Drosophila melanogaster: one gene and its partners. The protein of the gene in region 2 interacts with the protein of the main gene of each other region in a pairwise test. Each region holds a gene or a part of one and is shown on either strand. Other genes may lie near its edges.

Region 1 (7,294 bases), about 12 Mb from region 2:
AGATGGCCTTGATAAAAATGTTGGTCGAGATGAGCAGCTGAGACCAGAGTCCTGCACCGATCTTTGTCGTTGCCGCACTTGAAGCCAAAGCCAATTGCTTATTGAACACCTGAATCAGCAGCTCCTGCCCGATGCGGTTCTCCAGCATCCGGATTACGAAATGCGCTTTCCTTCGCATCGCCTCCACATACTTCGGCGATACGGTGTGCAAACTCTTGATGGGAAAATAGTGGACAATCTCCTGCTGTTTGCTGGAAGCCGCCGATTGATTTGTGCCCGAAACAGGCAAAGGAGCTGGCGGCTGACTGCAATCGAGAATAATGCCGCCATACTGCTCCTCGTAGCGAACGACACGCGCCAGTTCAGATTGCACCCAAGCACGGTACTCGTTGTTGCCGAAGCACTTCCTGGAATACAATCCACACAGGTACTCCGCAATGCCCTTGGCCAGCCAGGTGTCCGACCAATGATGGGATGTAATAAAGCAGCCGAAGAATTGCTCAGCCACAGCGCGCGACATAAAGGTTCGAGATATATAGGTCTGATCGATGATAGCTATGGAGTGCAGCAGATTCACCGAAGCAATGCTCATAGTGGCATAGGCACTTATGTCCGTGTCCAATTCGTCTACAAACACTTGTTTGTAGCAACTGAATGGGTAGCGCGTAGATAAGGTCTCCTCGTAAAATTCAAATGCCTCGTGCAAATAGCGAACCGTATTTTTTAACAGCGGCAACAATCCGGGCAGACAAAAGTGGGTCACTTCATGCATGTGCGGATCCACGTAGATCTCAAACTGACCCACAGCCAGCGCAATATTTGGTGCACATACTGGTGTGCTAACCGAATAGTGGAAGGTTTTCTTTCGCAGATCTGGGGTCATAATGACTTCTAGAAGTTCTCCACACGAAACGGCGGTCATATTTTTGTCGACAGTGAACTCCAGCCGCCAGGTGCAGGGATCGGCGAAACTGTCCACGCAGGGAAACCACAATCTCGACGAGTTTTCATAGCAATTGGTGAACATATGCGAGCTGTTCATCTGTGTCTCCTCGTCCGTTGAAGCGGGTGGTATGACAAAATGTACGCCGCATTTGGGATTCTCCAACGAGAACTCGATGCGGATGCGCAGACCCTGACCCTCCTGGATCATAGAGTAGCCCTCGGGCGGAACCTGGATGAGCAGTTCGCCGTTGTTCACATCGGGATCGGTGTACTGGGCGGCGGTCAGATGATGCTTGGAGTAGACCTCCAGCGCGCGGCTCTTGTGCTCCTTGTAGCAGATGTTCTGGAAGGGATCGAAGTACGTGAAATCCGCCTGGCAGACATCGTTCAAAACGACGCTGTAGATTCTCAGCTGCTTGGCATTCAGGCGTATCAGGCGCAGATTCTCGCTGTTCGGCACAATGGTCAGCTCGACCACGCCCTAAAGGGAGGAGGTGTGTTATGTTTTGTACATATTTAAGTGTATCTAAGTTATATCCTTACGATTATGCTCCTCCGCTCGAAACTGATGCCCGTGAGGCTCACAACCTGATGCGCCGTGCTATTCAAAAGGGAGAACTCATTATTTTTGGATTCCTAACAGAGCAGGGTGAATACTTATAATTTAAACGGTCGCAGCGGCACCTCGGGCACCTCAGGTTGCGTTTCCATCGCTCAAATGCCGGTTCTGCGCCAGAATTTATTAACTAATTTGCGTTTGTTATAAAAAAAAACACAGCACTGTTTAACTTCTTCTTCTTCTATTGAAAATGCCGACAGGGCTAAAAAAATACCAAATTCATTCGGATAAAGATGGCAACTCTGCGCGACAATGTAGCCCTGCTCGCCTTTTTTTAACCCTCGAAACGTGTTGGGTCTTCAATATTGACACTAATTTAATAGTTTACGTTCGTAAACAATATAGACTACATAACTACTTCTCTAATACCATAAAAATACATTTTTTAGAAAACTAAAATTTATTAAAAGCTATATTTGTTTTTATTGAAACTGTTTAATAAAACAAAATTAATATTTCTATAATATATTTTCTGAGTTAATAAATGAATTAGAATGTTATAAATATTTCATTCTGCATTTTCAAAGCTTTTTTGATTGCACATGCATATTCAAAGAAAATTTATACAGAACGCGCAAGGGTTAAAGATTATGAATCATTTACCGAGAAAGTTAAATTTGGATACTTCTCCCATTTAAAGCGTACGATTCTCAGCGAGTCAGCAGTTTTACCACGGCAGCGAGTTAATAAACATCTGGATATCATCCAGTTCCGTAGTTTTAGCCGATTTGCAACGCCATTAGTAGTTAGATTTAGGGAAAAACCAGTGCGTGGACGAGGAAAACCACAGCGAAAAACCAGTAAAAATGTACGGCATTGATAATTACCCCAAGAATTATCATGCCAGTGGCATTGGCCTTGTCAATTTGGCGGCCTTGGGCTACAGCAAGAATGAAGTCAGCGGCGGGAACGAAGGAGGAGGAGCTCCCAAACCCAAAGCGGGTCTCTACCCCTCGTTGCCCTATCCATCATCCGAATCCGTGGGCGGAATGCCATATGTGGTAAAGCAGACGAGTCATGCCCAGAATGCTTCGTATGCGGGACCCACCATGGGCATGGGAATGCCCGTGCCAGAAGCCCCCTCAGCGCCGGCTCCATACCCCAGTGCCACGCCATACCCTGGATCAGGACTTTATCCTAGTCTGCCATCAGCCAACGTATCATCGCTGCCGTACCCCACTGCGCCTATGGCGCCCTATCCAACCGGAATGCCCTATCCAACTGGCATGCCGCAGCCCAATCTACCCTATCCGGCGGCTCCGCTCGCACCATATCCATCTGCCATGCCCGGTTTGCCCGGTATGCCAATGCCGTACGCTCCCATGCCAACGAGTCCGGCTCCCCAGCACAATATCGGATTCCCAGCACTACCATATCCCACGGCACCGCCACCGGAAAGTGCTCCAACCCAGGAGGAGGAACCTTCCGTCGGCGTGGCCGAGCTAAGCTTCACCAGCGTGAAGGTGCCCGAGAACCAGAACATGTTTTGGATGGGTCGCAAGGCCACTAGTGCCCGGCAGAACAGCGTAAGCAAAGGCGATTTCCAATCGCTGCGCGACAGTTGCCTGGCTAATGGAACCATGTTCGAGGATCCCGATTTTCCGGCCACCAACGCTTCGCTGATGTACTCACGACGACCGGATCGCTACTACGAGTGGCTGCGTCCCGGTGACATCGCCGATGATCCGCAGTTCTTCGTGGAAGGCTATTCACGATTCGATGTGCAACAAGGAGAACTTGGCGATTGGTAAGACCAAACGCATTAATAACACATAAGTGGACATAAATTCAAAAATTAAATATTCCTTCACAGCTGGCTACTGGCTGCAGCTGCCAATTTGACGCAGGACTCGACGCTCTTCTTTAGGGTAATCCCGCCGGATCAGGACTTCCAGGAGAACTACGCTGGCATCTTTCACTTCAAGTTTTGGCAGTATGGCAAGTGGGTGGAAGTGGTCATTGATGACCGTCTGCCCACCTATAATGGCGAGCTAATCTACATGCACTCCACGGAGAAGAACGAGTTTTGGAGTGCCTTGCTGGAGAAGGCTTATGCAAAGCTGCATGGATCTTATGAAGCACTCAAGGGTAGGAAATGGAATATTATCAGTATTTGTAGAAGCGTAGAAAATTTGTGGCATACCAAAATTTATTTTAGTTTCTAAAAATACACTATGCTTATCATATGTTCTTAAAAAAAAATAAACTAATGTGGCACTTATCGCGGTTAGGACTTTGTTGAATAGATCTGAAATTTAAATACTTTCATTCTAATAATTTTTTTGTAACCATCTCTTCACGATTAGGCGGCACCACGTGCGAGGCCATGGAGGACTTTACTGGCGGCGTCACCGAGTGGTACGACATCAAGGAGGCGCCCCCAAATCTATTCAGCATCATGATGAAGGCCGCCGAGCGTGGCTCGATGATGGGCTGCTCTTTGGAGCCGGATCCACATGTTCTGGAAGCGGAGACGCCACAAGGTTTGATTCGCGGTCATGCATACTCCATTACCAAGGTGTGCCTCATGGACATATCGACGCCCAATCGGCAGGGAAAATTGCCCATGATACGTATGCGTAATCCATGGGGCAACGATGCCGAATGGAGCGGTCCGTGGAGCGACAGCTCGCCTGAGTGGCGATTTATTCCGGAGCACACGAAGGAGGAGATTGGCCTGAATTTCGATAGGGACGGCGAGTTCTGGATGTCCTTCCAGGACTTCCTCAATCATTTTGATCGCGTGGAGATATGTAATTTGTCGCCCGACTCGCTGACTGAGGATCAGCAGCACAGCTCTCGCCGCAAGTGGGAAATGTCCATGTTCGAGGGTGAGTGGACATCGGGAGTAACAGCCGGCGGTTGCAGAAACTTCCTGGAAACCTTCTGGCACAATCCGCAGTACATCATTTCGCTGGAGGATCCCGACGACGAGGATGACGATGGCAAATGCACGGCTATTGTGGCCCTTATGCAGAAGAATCGACGTAGCAAGCGCAACGTGGGCATCGACTGTCTGACCATCGGATTTGCTATATATCATCTCACAGACCGTGACATGCAAGTGAAGCCCCAGGGACTCAACTTCTTCAAGTACCGAGCATCGGTGGCGCGTTCACCACATTTTATCAACACGCGCGAGGTTTGCGCCCGGTTTAAGTTGCCACCTGGCCACTACCTGATTGTTCCATCGACCTTCGATCCGAATGAGGAGGGCGAGTTCATTATTCGCGTCTTCTCGGAGACAAGGAACAATATGGAGGAGAACGACGATGAGGTTGGCTTTGGCGAGACCGACGATCGCATTGCTCCGTCTCTGCCGCCACCGACTCCAAAGGAGGAGGATGATCCGCAGCGCATTGCACTGCGTCGTCTGTTCGACAGCGTGGCTGGCAGCGATGAGGAAGTCGACTGGCAGGAGCTGAAGCGCATCCTGGACCACTCTATGCGCGATGTTATGGTGGGCAGTGATGGCTTCTCCAAGGATGCCGTGCGTTCGATGGTAGCCATGCTGGACAAGGATCGCTCCGGTCGCCTTGGTTTCGAGGAGTTCGAAGCTCTGCTTACCGATATTGCCAAGTGGCGGGCGGTCTTTAAGCTATATGACACCCGTCGCACTGGCAGTATTGATGGATTCCATCTGCGCGGAGCACTCAATTCGGCTGGCTATCATCTGAACAACCGGCTCCTGAACGCCCTGGCCCATCGCTACGGATCGCGGGAGGGACAAATACCATTCGACGATTTCCTGATGTGTGCCATCAAGGTTAGAACATTCATCGAGATGTTCCGCGAACGGGACACGGACAATTCGGACACGGCCTTCTTCAACTTGGACGACTGGCTGGAGCGAACAATTTACTCTTAAATTACTTGCAATTGCTACTAATCTAATCCTAAGTGCGACGTATACTTAATCTACCTGTGCATCATATTATTCATGCATTCAAATGAGAAAGCCAACACACAAATCCATGACAATGCGATCCGGCGATGCAAAGAGATACACTCACTGAGCCAACAAGAGAATCTTATCTATATGACCATATCCGGAAATACAAATCATGTGGCGAAATTGGAGTGGCCTTGGAACGGCACGAGGTTGCTACGAGTATGCACGGTAAACAGTATAAATCCCGCATACACAATTCAAAAAATTAACGCTATAGATTTTTTTTTACCATGCTGCGCAACTGGAGGGATGACTAAGAGCAAGCATCAATAGCAAATCCACTCCATGCACCTCGTCAAGAGCCGGAAATTTACTAGTACAAACAGTGCATTATTACCTTACAATCGCTATGAGACGCTCGGAAAGCCATTAGAACGCATCGACAATATTTATTAGATATACGGAATGAATAAGCATGTATTTTTGTAACATCGTTAGCTCCGAGCAGTCCACATATTTGCCCAGGTGCTAGAAATAAGTCCAGCCAAACTCTGTTACCCAAACAAACGTTGTTATTATTATCAGGAAAGTAACGCGAAGCGAACAAGCCAACCAACTCATCGAATATTTATAAGCTTAAGCAGAATTTCAGAATATCAGTCAATTTATTGAATCACATCAAAAAATGTAATACGCATATATTTTGTATTTAGTTTTCAGATCAGTAATCTCAAAACATACCTTAATTAGGCACCCTCTATGTCAAAATAAGTGTTTAACTAACTGAAATTAACCAATCGGGTTTAGAGGCTCTTTTTGTTGGATGCTTTTATATTTTACTATAATTTTTGTGAATTAATCAAAGTTACTCTTGTATGCAATTGTTACTATTAATAATTTGTTGTCCGACTTTTTGTATGCATATAAATAAAATGCAGTGATGATTCAATCTACTTGACGACTATAACTACATCAGCACCATTCGGGACGCCAGCATCGATCATTATTTGCTTCATTTCATCTATAGCCAGATTGTTATCGGATGCCAAGTTATTTAGGACCTCGAGAAAGTCTTCGTACTCCAAACGCCATTTCCTGAAACATGTATTTGATTAAGAATGATATGTAGATTTGATGTAGTTACTCACTTGTATCGCATGTATATTAAACCGGTCTGAGTTCGAGTTATGGGATTGGGCATGAGCTTGGCCTGCTCTAGCCAGGCGTCCAACTGCGAGAGGAGTATGCTGTCAAAGTACTCGTTCTCGATGTCGGTGGGTATGACCTGGCATCATTTAGATGAAAATTACTCTTCAATTAACCGGGTCATTCATCATACCTGGAAGTTGGAATACACCAAGAACAGGCTGTCCAGCGTGTGCTTCTTTGGTTTATCTTCATCATCGGCCATCGTGTATTATGTGTGTTGGGTGTTGTGGTGTAGTGTATTAAATCGAATTTGTACAAACGAGAATGGTTTCCCCTGGCAGATAAAGAGCAGTATTCTGTGTGGGTGTCATGGCTATATGTATGTGTATTTTGAATTGTTTTGTTGATAAACAAAACGTACAGAGAATCGGATGCTATCTAGACAACTGTTGCCATGGGCACGGGCCATCGTTCTAGAATTGTTTACTGCAAAAGTTTTGAACGACCTCTTGGACGCATATCGCCAGCTTGGGATTCCAATCGAGGTATCGGATATTCTCCGTGGCATACGGCGCATCGATGACCACCTGACGGAGTATATTGATCGCCACTTGGTCGCCTTTGTTCTGCCAGATGATAGCGGGATCACCGAATCGCTTGACTAACAGTCTGAACAGAGCTTGACCAAA
Region 2 (6,208 bases):
AATAGGCCTTTGTGTAGCCGTCAAACAGATCGATGTACTCTTTGTAATGACAGATAAACAACAGGTCGGCAGGCTGCACAAAGTCCGCTCGGTAGAATCCCTCTAGCGAATGCAAAGTGGCCACTAGCAGGCACAGTATTCTCTCCCAGTTGATCAGCAAGGGACCGAGGGCGCTGAGCGGCTCCAGTGCCGACTGTCTTTGCCAGATTTCGAGTGTTTGGACTGCCTGTCGATGCTTGAGAAGCAGTTGTAACTGTGACTGCAGATGACTCAGATAGTAGTGATACTGCCGCTGGAACTGCCTTTGGTTTTGAAGTGTGTATCCGCCAGAACACATAAGCAAACGTAGTTGTCTGGGCCACGCTGCTCCCAACTGAAGCTGGAGAAGCGTCTGCGCGTATGTGCTGGACTGCTGCAGATGTCGCATTGGAGGCGCAGGTTGAAGGGAATGTATTTGACCCGAGGCATTGAGCAGTAGTGTATGGTAGTCGCCGCAAGTCGCCTCAAGCGCCGAGTTTTGTTCTATGGGTAGTGCTGCCGTGTTTTCCGTAATTGTGATCTCCATGGGCGAGCTGACATCTTCACCCAACTGAGAGTGGTTGTTCAGGCCCCAGTGGTAGAGCCTTCCGTCCAGAGTGCGGGCCACCGTGTGCTCTAATCCAGCTGCAATGCTGCACACGCCCATGCTGTCTAGTTTCTGCAAGCGCATCACATTGGCCCTCCGGATATGATCCCCACTGCCCAGGAGACCATTATTGGAGGCTCCGAATGTGAAAAGTTGGGTGTGGAGCAGAGCGTATCCTTGGTGAAGAAGGTGCCTTGTGTTAGCCGCAACGCTGCGCTCCGAGTGGCCACTGCTTATGGATTTTACAGAGGCCCGTTCATCCTCGGGTTCTTCCTTCGCACTGGCCACCGACAGCTGGAGTGCATCGTCGGCCAGGTTGTAGGGAGCTACTAACATCACAAAGTGCTCGTTTCCGGCTGCTAAGTCCAACAGTTCCTTGCCCTCTTCGTAAAGGCGCATGTGCCGAGGCTGTTGTTCTGCCTTGAAGACTTCGCCGCAGCTGCCCATGACATAGGTCTCCCCACTAGCGCCGACGAAGACAACGCCCTGGGCGGAGCAGCAAACCCGTCGGATGCGTACGCCCTCAGCATGCAATTCGAGAGGGTCGAAACCGAGGGTTTGCCACGCATGTGGATGACCCACATCCCGGCCAGATCCCGTGGCTTGGCGCTGCACAGAGCCATTGGTGAGGACTACGAATAGTTCCTGACTGCCGGAGCAGAAGTCCATATCCACAACATCGGTACGCAGGAGTTGAAGATCCATGTGTTCGCGGTTGGCCTGCAGCTTGGCGGAGTAGAGGGCGTGGTCAGTGGTCAGAAGGAGCAGTTCCCCGCCGGCATTGCTGCAAATCCGGGATGCGGGAAACCGCTGCAGGGGCGGCAATCCGCGCCAGTGAAGCTGTAGCTCCCTGCCTTCATGATAGATGGTGAAGGACTCCCGCTCCTCCTGACCCCCAAGTGCCGAGTCATCCGCTGCACTGGCCATGATGTGCAAATTTTTGTTGGGGTTTTGGACAGGGCCAAAGCTTTGTAACACGACGCAATTGCTCGATTTGTCTGCAGGTCGTTCTCACATCGTGCACGTGCTCCGGTCCACGCTAGGCACTACTGGCACCAACGAACATCATATAACTTGATTCGGAATGCAACTCTAGCTGCCACGATAAAATAAATTCTGTTTTCACTTGTTCTTAACTGGCTAATAAGAATTCATGTTTTTGTGATGGTTTTTTGGATTAGTGTGACCAGCGCTATCGAGTCCCAATGAGAATTTATTAAGTAAGGGTGTTCGGGTAAAAGTGACGTTCTAAAATTGGGCTTATCACTATTTATTTGGTCCATGCAAATTGTTGTTTTATAACCAATTTTGAAAACACACATAATACCTTATACGTAAACTCAATATTGTAGTTAGCTAGAACTCTTATATAAATTTAAATAACTCCTTAGTTGCATTCGCCATAATCATGGAACCAGTCAACACAAAAAAGTTATTTTGGTATTTTTTTGCGATACATCAATTTGTTTTAATATGGTCATATTGTTTTTGCCATCAGCTGTTCGACTCAAAAGTTTTTGCATGTTTTGTTTATTTCGCTTAAAATGTAGTTTTATCGTTAATTAGGAAAAGTTACCCACGGTAAAAAAAAACAACCGTCAACAATTGTTCAGAAACATCAACTAGTACGACTCAGTGGACACCTCCGTGTGGTACTGCTGGTTTGCATACGCCCACAAAAGTTGTTTTAAGCCACAAACTCACCCTCCTAAAATAAAATTTTTTCAGCTCGGTTATGGATTTGGACTGCGAGGGCGCTACAGCTTTGGCTGACGACTCAGGGCACTTTAGCTGCACTAGCGATGATGGAGTAGGAGATCCTGCTCAGAAACCGGCGCCGCAGCCTGAACCGGACCAATCGATTTTTCTGGTGCGGCAAGAGCTGCTTCGGACGCGCAGTGAGGTGCAAAGGCTCTTAAAATCGGAGCAGTGGTACAAGCAGGAGCTTAAGTCCCAGAAGCACAGCAGGCTACAGACGCTAGAACGATTGTACGCACAGGAACGGAAGTATTTGATGGAGAACCAGAAGCTGCAGCAAGAATCGATCCGCCTGCACACACAATGCGCCACTCTGGAGAAGCAGCAGGAGCAGGGCTCACCATTTTCCCCTGGCTCATCGCCGTTTAAAGCAGACTCGGAGTCACACGACTCCTCTTTTGAGGCCAAACAGCAGGAGGCGCGCCTACGGGATCAGCGTCAGTTGATCGACGTGCTCCGAAGGCAAAAGAAGATGCTTCTGGACGACATCCAGAGGATCAGTCTGGAACACGATGAAAAACTTTCGCAGTTGCAGCAAACTGTTGTCGGCATGGAGCTGGAGAGCAAGCACGTGACTGGAAAATGCAAGCAACTACTTGACCTTAAAAGTCAAATGGAGCACCAGCTAGAGCTAAGAAGCACTACCCTACGCAGTGTCACCGCGGAGCGTGATCAGCTGCGCCAAGTCATTGCTGAGCTTAACGAGACGCTGCAAACGCAGGAGCATCTGTTAGCGCTAAAGGAACAGGAGTTCCTGGATTTGAAACAGTACTACCAACAAAAGCTGAAACGGGAGAGTAGCATGGAAATTATGCACTCTTATAGCATGAAATTTCACGAAGAGATCAACAGAAAAACGAGTGAAATTGCCAGCCTTAAGAATTCTCTTAACGAGCTTCAGGCCGAGCTGATGCTGATGTCTCACATGAAAGAGCAATGCGAGGAACAGCAGCGTCAGCTTGAGCAACTGGAGTTCGCATTGCAGGCACAACTTTTGGAGGAGACTCAACTTCGGCAAAGCAATGCTCTAAAACTGGAGCAGGTGGAAAATTTAACAATTTCTTTGGCTTCGTTACAACTAGATAAGGAAGGCTTAAAAGAAAATTTAGGTGAGGCGCAAAAGACCTTGAAAAATCTACAGCAGAAGGTGGACATTCTTCAAAAACAGTATGCCGAAATGTGCTCCTTGTGTCAAAAGACTAAACAGCAATTGGAACTGGAGAAAATCGAGATTGCCAAAATGAAGCAAAACGGTTCCTTAAAGGAAAGTGAGCTAATGGAGAAACTCAAAGATTATGCAGCGCAGTGTGATGAGCTGAGAAAAGCGTTGGCCGAAGCAGAGTCCCGTATCGATGTCCAAATCAAAAAGACAGAGGGCTGGCAAGTGCAGTTGAAACACAACCAAGCGACCCAAACGGACCTCGAAGATCCGATTTTAGTTCAACGCATTGAGACTTTGGAACAACAACTAGCGGATGTCAGGAGCCAAAAATTGCACACAGTTTCGCTGCTCCAAATACTGCTTCAACAGCAAGAAGCTAAAATCAAGAGCACTAACGAAATGGAAGCAGACTGGCAACAACTGTTAGATGCTCTGCAAGCTACTCAAAGCTTGGAGCAGGAAATGCGATCAGAACTACAGCATAAGACGGTTGAATTGGAGCACCTGAATGAATTGTTCGCTGGACAAAATGATGAACTGCAAAAGCTCCAGAAATTGAGCCAAGCGCAGGACGAGGAAAATCGACTAGAGTTACAGCTTTTGAAGAAAACATTCCAAGAGAATCTGAAGATAAACTCCGCTGCGTCGATTAACATGCAAAGGCTGCAAGGCCAGGTAAAGTCTTTGCTAGATGAGAAGGAGGAAATTGCGCGAGAAGAACGCAAAGCAGTAGAGTGTTTGCGATCTCTTGGTCACGTTCTTGAGATGGAAACAGGAAGGAGGCTACCACATATAAAAAGCTGGCCTCAGTTGGCCAAAATTCTTCGAAAGGAACTGCGAAATGGGAGGGTTAACAATCGAAAGGCTGAAGAGCTTCCTGGGCTTAAAATGAAGCTGGCGGAGATCAGCGGAAGGCATCAGCAAGCTTTGTCAAAAATTAAGGTATGTTATGTCTTACTCCCTTAAAGTAACTCTTTGTAACACAATTAATTGCTTTTTACAGTGTCTGGAGCACACTTTGGTAATGGAGCGAGCGCGGTTTGAGGCCTCGGACTCGGGCAAATCGACGGCTAGCAACACGCCCCAGGAACCCGCCCATGAAGTGGCTAATCTTATTGATGACTACAAGAAGGTAAGTATGTTCCCCTCCGATTGGCTTCTCTTGACATTTCCTTAATTGATTTACAGCTCGTTCAGCAAACCGCCAATGAAACATGTCGCCCTCGCAACAGCTTCATATTCGATCTGATTGAGCGGAGTCAGCGATGCCAACCGAATTTGTGCCAATTAGGCGAGGGTATTTCCGCCTGCCAGTCTGATATGAAGGAGCTAAGCAGGATTATTATTGCTGGTCGGGAACGGAGGAGAGTGGAGCCCATGCCCTCCCTCATGGATGAACTTCGAGCGGTGGCCGAGCACTCTTAGACGAGCATAATTTAGTTTTCAGTCAAATACTTATAAATTTCCTATTTAGTACCTATTTGTTTAGTCTCAAATTTTGTTTTCCTAAAAGGGGCAATTAGTGAATTGAGTTTTTGTGCCTAGTCTCATAGGCCTAATTTTCAATCAGATCCAACTTAGTTCAATTTATATAAATATTTATTTTGTTGTCTTTTGTGTTCGTTATCTTTATTTATGTGTAACGCATTCTGTTAGTTTCACCAATTCTATATACATACTAATTGCCAAACTATACCAATATTTTTTCTACAAGATATATAAACCATTGTTGGTTGCCACAAAAATGTGTAATTATTTTTATAGTCCATAACATTTAAAGTTAAAAACCTTGTGTAGATAAAACATATTTGTGTGAAGTCGATCAGTGCACATCATTTACTTTCGTGGGCACCTAGGGATTTTAGTACCATCGTTCTCCGAAATAACTTCCTTTTTGTCATATATCGTATTTCCGTTTTCATCCACGTCCAGAACTTCCTGTATTACCCCTTTTCGAGTTCGTGTTATCCCACACATAGGCTTATCGTTTTTATCCATGCACAAAATCAGGAGCTCAGTGTGCTGTAGATCAGAGGGCTTTAGGACCTTTGTTACCTTACAAGATGCCGTAAACTTTATGGGGCACGTCACCCCGGCACATTGCCAACCATCTGGGGGGAAATAATTATTAACATAGATGTTCCAATACTACTCGTATCCATGTAATCCATACACTTAGTCTTCTTTACCGTCGCTCGATTTAAGTCCTCATTTAGGTGCCGATCTCCGTCTGCCTTAAAATAAATGTACGATCCATAATACTCCATATACGGATTTACCCTTACCACGGTGTGGTCAGCAAAAGATAAAATGGCCAGCACTACCAATATTAAGGAGATAAAGATATTCATAGCTCAACCTTGCTGATGCAGTTTTCCTCTATGACTGATTGATTCAAACAAGTCTGCTGATGTATTGGATCAGCCTAATGTGTAATGTGTGTGTTCCACAGAACAAAGATACACCCCTGCAACTGAGTTCAGAATTTAATAACACTATAGTTTATATACGTTTCCGGACGTCTTACATTGGGAATTGTTATTCCTGTATTGTATTCACAATCAGTCACTTAGAAAGTCGCCTTGGAAGCGGAAACATGTCTTCGTCAGGGTGACTTAAGCTGTGGCAAATTGATTCTCCAATCAGAGACGGTGGCATTCTTT
Region 3 (4,902 bases), on a different chromosome or scaffold from region 2:
AGCGTTGGCATTTCAATTGTCTAATTGCCGCGTGGGTTTCTCCATAGGCAGAGCTCACTGTGTGGGGGCGTGAGAAAAGCCCCAAAAGACCCGTTTGCCTGCCACTGATCGTGGCTTTCCAATTGCTGGTGTCTTTATTTTCTTTAAATAGAAATCAATGCGTGTATATAGAATATAATCGATGCGTAACAAAATATATTTATATATTTTTTTGAGAATTAAATATCAACACGTTTTTTCTATCTGTGTATGGCCTTTTGTAGGAGATCCCTTTCGGGACCGAGTTAATTGTAAGTCCCTCAATTGCCTAGCAGTAATTTGCAAGTCCATTACAAGCTCTACTTTTCGACTGCTGCCGAAATCAAGCCGAATTATTTTGCCGAATTTCGGGACATTTCTCCGAGAACAATAACCCACATAGCACGACCCCAAAATCTCTTGAAATCCTGCAAAACTGCGCAGCAAGGACTCTCCCACTGGCACACACGCACACACTCATGCACACAGGACGTGGTGTAAATGCTAATTTACGCATTTCAATAGTACAAGTTTTTGGCGAAAATTTTAATTAGACTGCCTTTTTTTTGGGGAAGGGAAAGGCATTGTTAGGCGGCCGACAAGTGAGTAGTTTCTACCAGCTGGAAACCGAATGGTGGCTCGTTTTTTGGGCCATAAATTGGCGTCCTTCATTGAACGGAGAGCGGTTGGAGTTCCGAGTTCGAGTTCGGGTCTGCGAAATAGTTGTTTTCTTGCGCCTTTTTTTGCGCCACCCCAGCCCTGTTGACCATGCCCTCTCCCACTCTTGCGCTCTCTGGCTCTCTTTCACTCACACAAAATGGGCGCCGCACACTGTGGCAATCGGGCACCAATACAACGGCAAGCAGCGCACCAACACTAATGCGTTTCGGTCCGAACTGGAAGTTCGCGGGAAAACTGGAAGGTTACGCGTGTGCGAGAAGAGCACGGCTAGATGGTGCTTGGAAGGCGCTTGCTGCTCTCCTCACTCTAACGGCGAATGGATGTCGCACATGCGCCATGTTGCCGAGGGGAAGGCCCATATGCTGCTGACTCCCTCGCACTCGCTGAGCGGCGAAGAGTGCGGCTAGCGTGCGACAGAGACCGCCCCTGAATATTTACCGTTGCCGGGCAGCGCAGTCGACGCGAGCGTCGCTGTCGGCGCGCTGCTTTTGCCGCCGTTGCCGCCGTTACTGCTGTTGCTGCTGCTGTTGGTGTTGCTGCTGCTGCTGCAAATGTTGCTGCTGCGCTTGCCATGCGATTTGAGGTCCTCGGAAGAGCAAAGCTCCGCTGGCCGTTTACCGTTTGTTAGCTGAATGCCTCCTTGGCCAAATCCAAAGCGAAATGCAAAGCCAAGTCGAAAGCCAACCACCAGCAGCAACATAACGGCAGCAACAGCACGACAGCAACAGCAACAGCAAACAGAAACAGCAACTGCGACGACAAAACTCCTGGTGCACATTAACGCAGGCAACAGTTTAACGTGGAAATTATTGCGAATTTGTTGTGTGTTTTTCTGCGACGCGTGCCAGCGCAAAATCTCAAAACCTCCATTCGCAAATCCCATTTCGCGTAGTCTTTACAACATTGCAAAACTTGCCTTTGCTTTGTTTTTTTTTTTGTTTTCTGGGTTTCTCAATTGGGACTGCATGATGTTTTCAAGCGATTTGTTTTGACAACGGCAATATCTAGACGTAAATCGAAATATTAGCAATCGAAAATGCCGCAGCGTTCGCCATTTGCCATTCAGGAGCTGCTGGGCTTGGCGGTGGCGGCGGCCACAGAAGCGCCAACCGATCTGACGACAACTGCCGGTGCAACGGTGGCAAAAGAGCGCCAAACGCCAACGCCGCCAAAGACAACAAATGCCACAATGGCAACAGCAGCAACATCAGCAGCTACGGCAGCAACACCAACAAATGCGGCCGAAGGCAATTTAACGAGCGTTTCGGAGCCACAGCAGCAGCCGCAGCAGCAGCAACAAGAGCAGCAGCACCACCAGCCGCACCACCATCAGTACAGGGAGCACCACCAAATGACCATGGCGGCCGCCTCGCGAATGGCCTACTTCAATGCCCATGCGGCGGTGGCAGCGGCCTTTATGCCCCACCAACTGGCCGCGGCGGTGCACCATCATCATCAGCATCAGCACCAGCACCATCCACACCACCACCCGCACCACCCACACGGAGCCGTTGGCGGGCCACCGCCGCCGCCGCCGATGCAGCACCACCACCCCCACCATCCGCACCACCCGCTGCTGCACGCGCAGGGTAAGCCAATGTCCCCGCCAGCGAACCACTCAAATTGCAGTTAATTGCAGTTAGTAAAACACAGATATATATATTTTTTTCATTTATGCATATACTGAACATGGGAAAGTTGAAAAGTGCCGTAGCTAACTTACATATATTTCGCTATAGCGATTTTAAAAATCTTTTGTTCGATGTATTTACACTGACAATCAAAGCTTAAACGCAATTAGCAATCGCAACTGGTTTTGTCACCTGCCAGACACACCAACACAGGCGCACATATACACATGCTCAGATACATTTACAGATTCAGATTCAGATACAGATACATTCGATTCACACGCACACGCACACACAGTGGGGCGAATCGGTGTCTGGAGTGCCGCTTAGTTAGCATAAAAAAGGAATTAATCAGCGGTCCATCGTCCGCCAAATCAGCTTTGGCCCCACTGCAAACGACACAACGCCCGCATCCGCACCACCGCTCCACCGATCCGGCAATCCGGCAATCCGCCTCCGAAGCCACTCCAATCCAAAGCACCACCACTCAAGTTGAGCTGCTAATTGCACTGTGTGTGGATGTGTGTGTGTGAGTGTTTGTGTGTGTGTTGCACTCTGGTTTGAGCATAGCAAAAACTGGGCTTCACAATTGTTGCAATAGTTTGGGCACACTAACGACAATAGTTAGTTTTCATATTGTTTAAATAAAATTCTAGAATCAGTGGAAATCCGAATCAATTTATAATAAGCTTGGTATGCTTTTCGAGTAGGTTTTTGGTCGCTTTTGTGCCACTGTAGGTGCGCCTTTGTTTGGCGATCAGCACAGGCAATGAAACACGCACACTGCAAGAAAATCCCACACACTAACAGTGAACTCGAGTCGACCTGCTGTCTCTCTCGATTCAAAGCTCATTTGCAAGTGGCAATATCATACGAAGTTGGAGCGATGACAGTGAAGGCAGATAAACAGAAAGGCATGAAAAGCCGTGCAGGGATTGGATACACGGTAAAAAACTAGGAACTAGTTGCTGGCTGCCAGAAGTAAGCAGTTGATTAACAACATAAGCACTTCAAATTGTTATATTTCTCATTGGATTTGTGAACTATATCTGGAATGGCATTAATAACAAAATCCTGAAGCGTTTAGCCAAATTTCTTTCACTGTGAAAAGTGCGAGGCTCTGCAGATAATCTTGCAGATTCAAGTGGCAGCTGTTATTATTGTTATTATTATTTTAATTAGCGTTGAAATATCATCATCGTCATCACCGATTTCCATTGCTCTGCAACTGATTCACTGTGCCAATTTCACTGCGCACTCACTCAACTTATGTGGATATGTAGATACATATATGAGTAGATTGAATCTGATTTCTTGATTTCAAATCTGTTTACCCCTACACTTCCGGACCCTTTTTTTTGGGGTCTTATTATTATTATTTTTTTTTTTATTGATTTCGCATGTTGTGCGGCTTTCTTTTTGGCTCGATGTTTATGCGTTATTTTAATTACAATACTCCTATCCGTTTATCGCCCATTTCCACAGTTTCGTCGTAATTTGCGTTTAATAAATGTGGGAAAGAGCACTGCTCTTAGCTGCTAAATAGTTATGGGTAGTATGGGCTAGCAGACTGGGATTACAATTTAAACTATGACCAATTAGTTAAGGTTTTATAAATAGTGGTAATGTATGTAGTATGTAATAGTTGTGCTCATTAGTTTTGGTGCAATAAACAGGGCGAGTTGCTCTGCGATGATGAGAGAGAGTGGGTTGCCTCCGCTAAAAGCATATATTCTAGGGTATGTAATAGTCGTGCTCATAAATAGAGATAGAGAAAGTGGTCTGCCTGTGGTAAAAGCTTATAAATTAGGAAAGGCTTATATGTTTTAGGGTATGCAGTAGTCGTGCTTATTAGTTCACTCCCCATTTTCTTCTGTTCTGTTTAGCCGTGCTTTCTGCTTTTCATTCGCGTCATCCTATTTAATTTTGCATATTTTCAACTCGCTTCGTTGTCGTACGAATATTTCGGGTATCCGTTGTTGATTTTATACCCATTTGCGTGGCCAGCTCGTCAATTAAAAAATCGCATCAGGTTTGGTCGAATCGCGAGCGAATTTCTGGCCGGATTTCGGACGGATTTCCTGTCCAGAGCTGAGTACTTGGCGCCCTCCATTAAGTGCCTTTGATCTTTTACCAGAAGGGAAAACCCAAATCGGAAAATTGGTTGCCCAACGACAATAAGAAAAGCGCTTTTTCTTCGCACACCACACCGCCACACATTTAATTGACAATTTTCACTTTGGCTACGCGCGTCGCTTTGTTGTGACAGTCGTTTTGATGTGTTTGCACATCCCCACACACACATACAATTCAAGATTTTCCTTGTATTGGTGCACTTGTGCTGCAAAGATTTCGACAATTTACTCGCCTCTCGAAATTAACCATTTAGGATTTTCCACTTTTTAGCTGAGCATGCCAACAATGTATACAGATAATAAGTAACTAAGTTGGTATGTATGAGTTCAAAATTTAAGTTAGCCAGCTTGAGATGCTGATGCTGATCCATTGGGGAACGGCTTACTAAATAGATATTACGTTTAAATTCAGTTACGAATATTCGTAAGAGTAATAA

Evidence for each region. The genes of interacting proteins can lie anywhere in the genome.
Region 1: the proteins of CG11248 (region 2) and CalpB interact in a two-hybrid assay, tested with the Drosophila melanogaster proteins (one large-scale study listed by BioGRID).
Region 3: the proteins of CG11248 (region 2) and Vsx2 interact in a two-hybrid assay, tested with the Drosophila melanogaster proteins (one large-scale study listed by BioGRID).

Annotation. Positions count from the first base shown.
Region 1 is NT_037436.4:9,886,914-9,894,207, forward strand, and holds CalpB (Calpain-B), read left to right. Parts: upstream 1-1,848; 5' UTR 1,849-2,370; coding exon 2,371-3,311; intron 3,312-3,377; coding exon 3,378-3,652; intron 3,653-3,870; coding exon 3,871-5,432; 3' UTR 5,433-6,406; downstream 6,407-7,294. Other genes in the region: Taf2 (TBP-associated factor 2), read right to left, coding at 1-1,426, 1,489-1,543, 1,607-1,656; CG6709 (uncharacterized protein), read right to left, coding at 6,407-6,551, 6,605-6,741, 6,796-6,867; Hez (hezron), read right to left, coding at 7,079-7,294. UniProt on the Drosophila melanogaster protein: Calcium-regulated non-lysosomal thiol-protease.
Region 2 is NT_037436.4:21,677,947-21,684,154, forward strand, and holds CG11248 (uncharacterized protein), read left to right. Parts: upstream 1-2,103; 5' UTR 2,104-2,206; exon of another isoform or gene 2,207-2,286; intron 2,287-2,353; 5' UTR 2,354-2,360; coding exon 2,361-4,487; intron 4,488-4,548; coding exon 4,549-4,677; intron 4,678-4,733; coding exon 4,734-4,970; 3' UTR 4,971-5,285; downstream 5,286-6,208. Other genes in the region: Als2 (amyotrophic lateral sclerosis 2), read right to left, coding at 1-1,552; Sfp78E (seminal fluid protein 78E), read right to left, coding at 5,382-5,656, 5,719-5,896.
Region 3 is NC_004354.4:5,556,796-5,561,697, reverse strand, and holds the start of Vsx2 (visual system homeobox 2), read left to right. Parts: upstream 1-1,514; 5' UTR 1,515-1,735; coding exon 1,736-2,288; intron 2,289-4,902.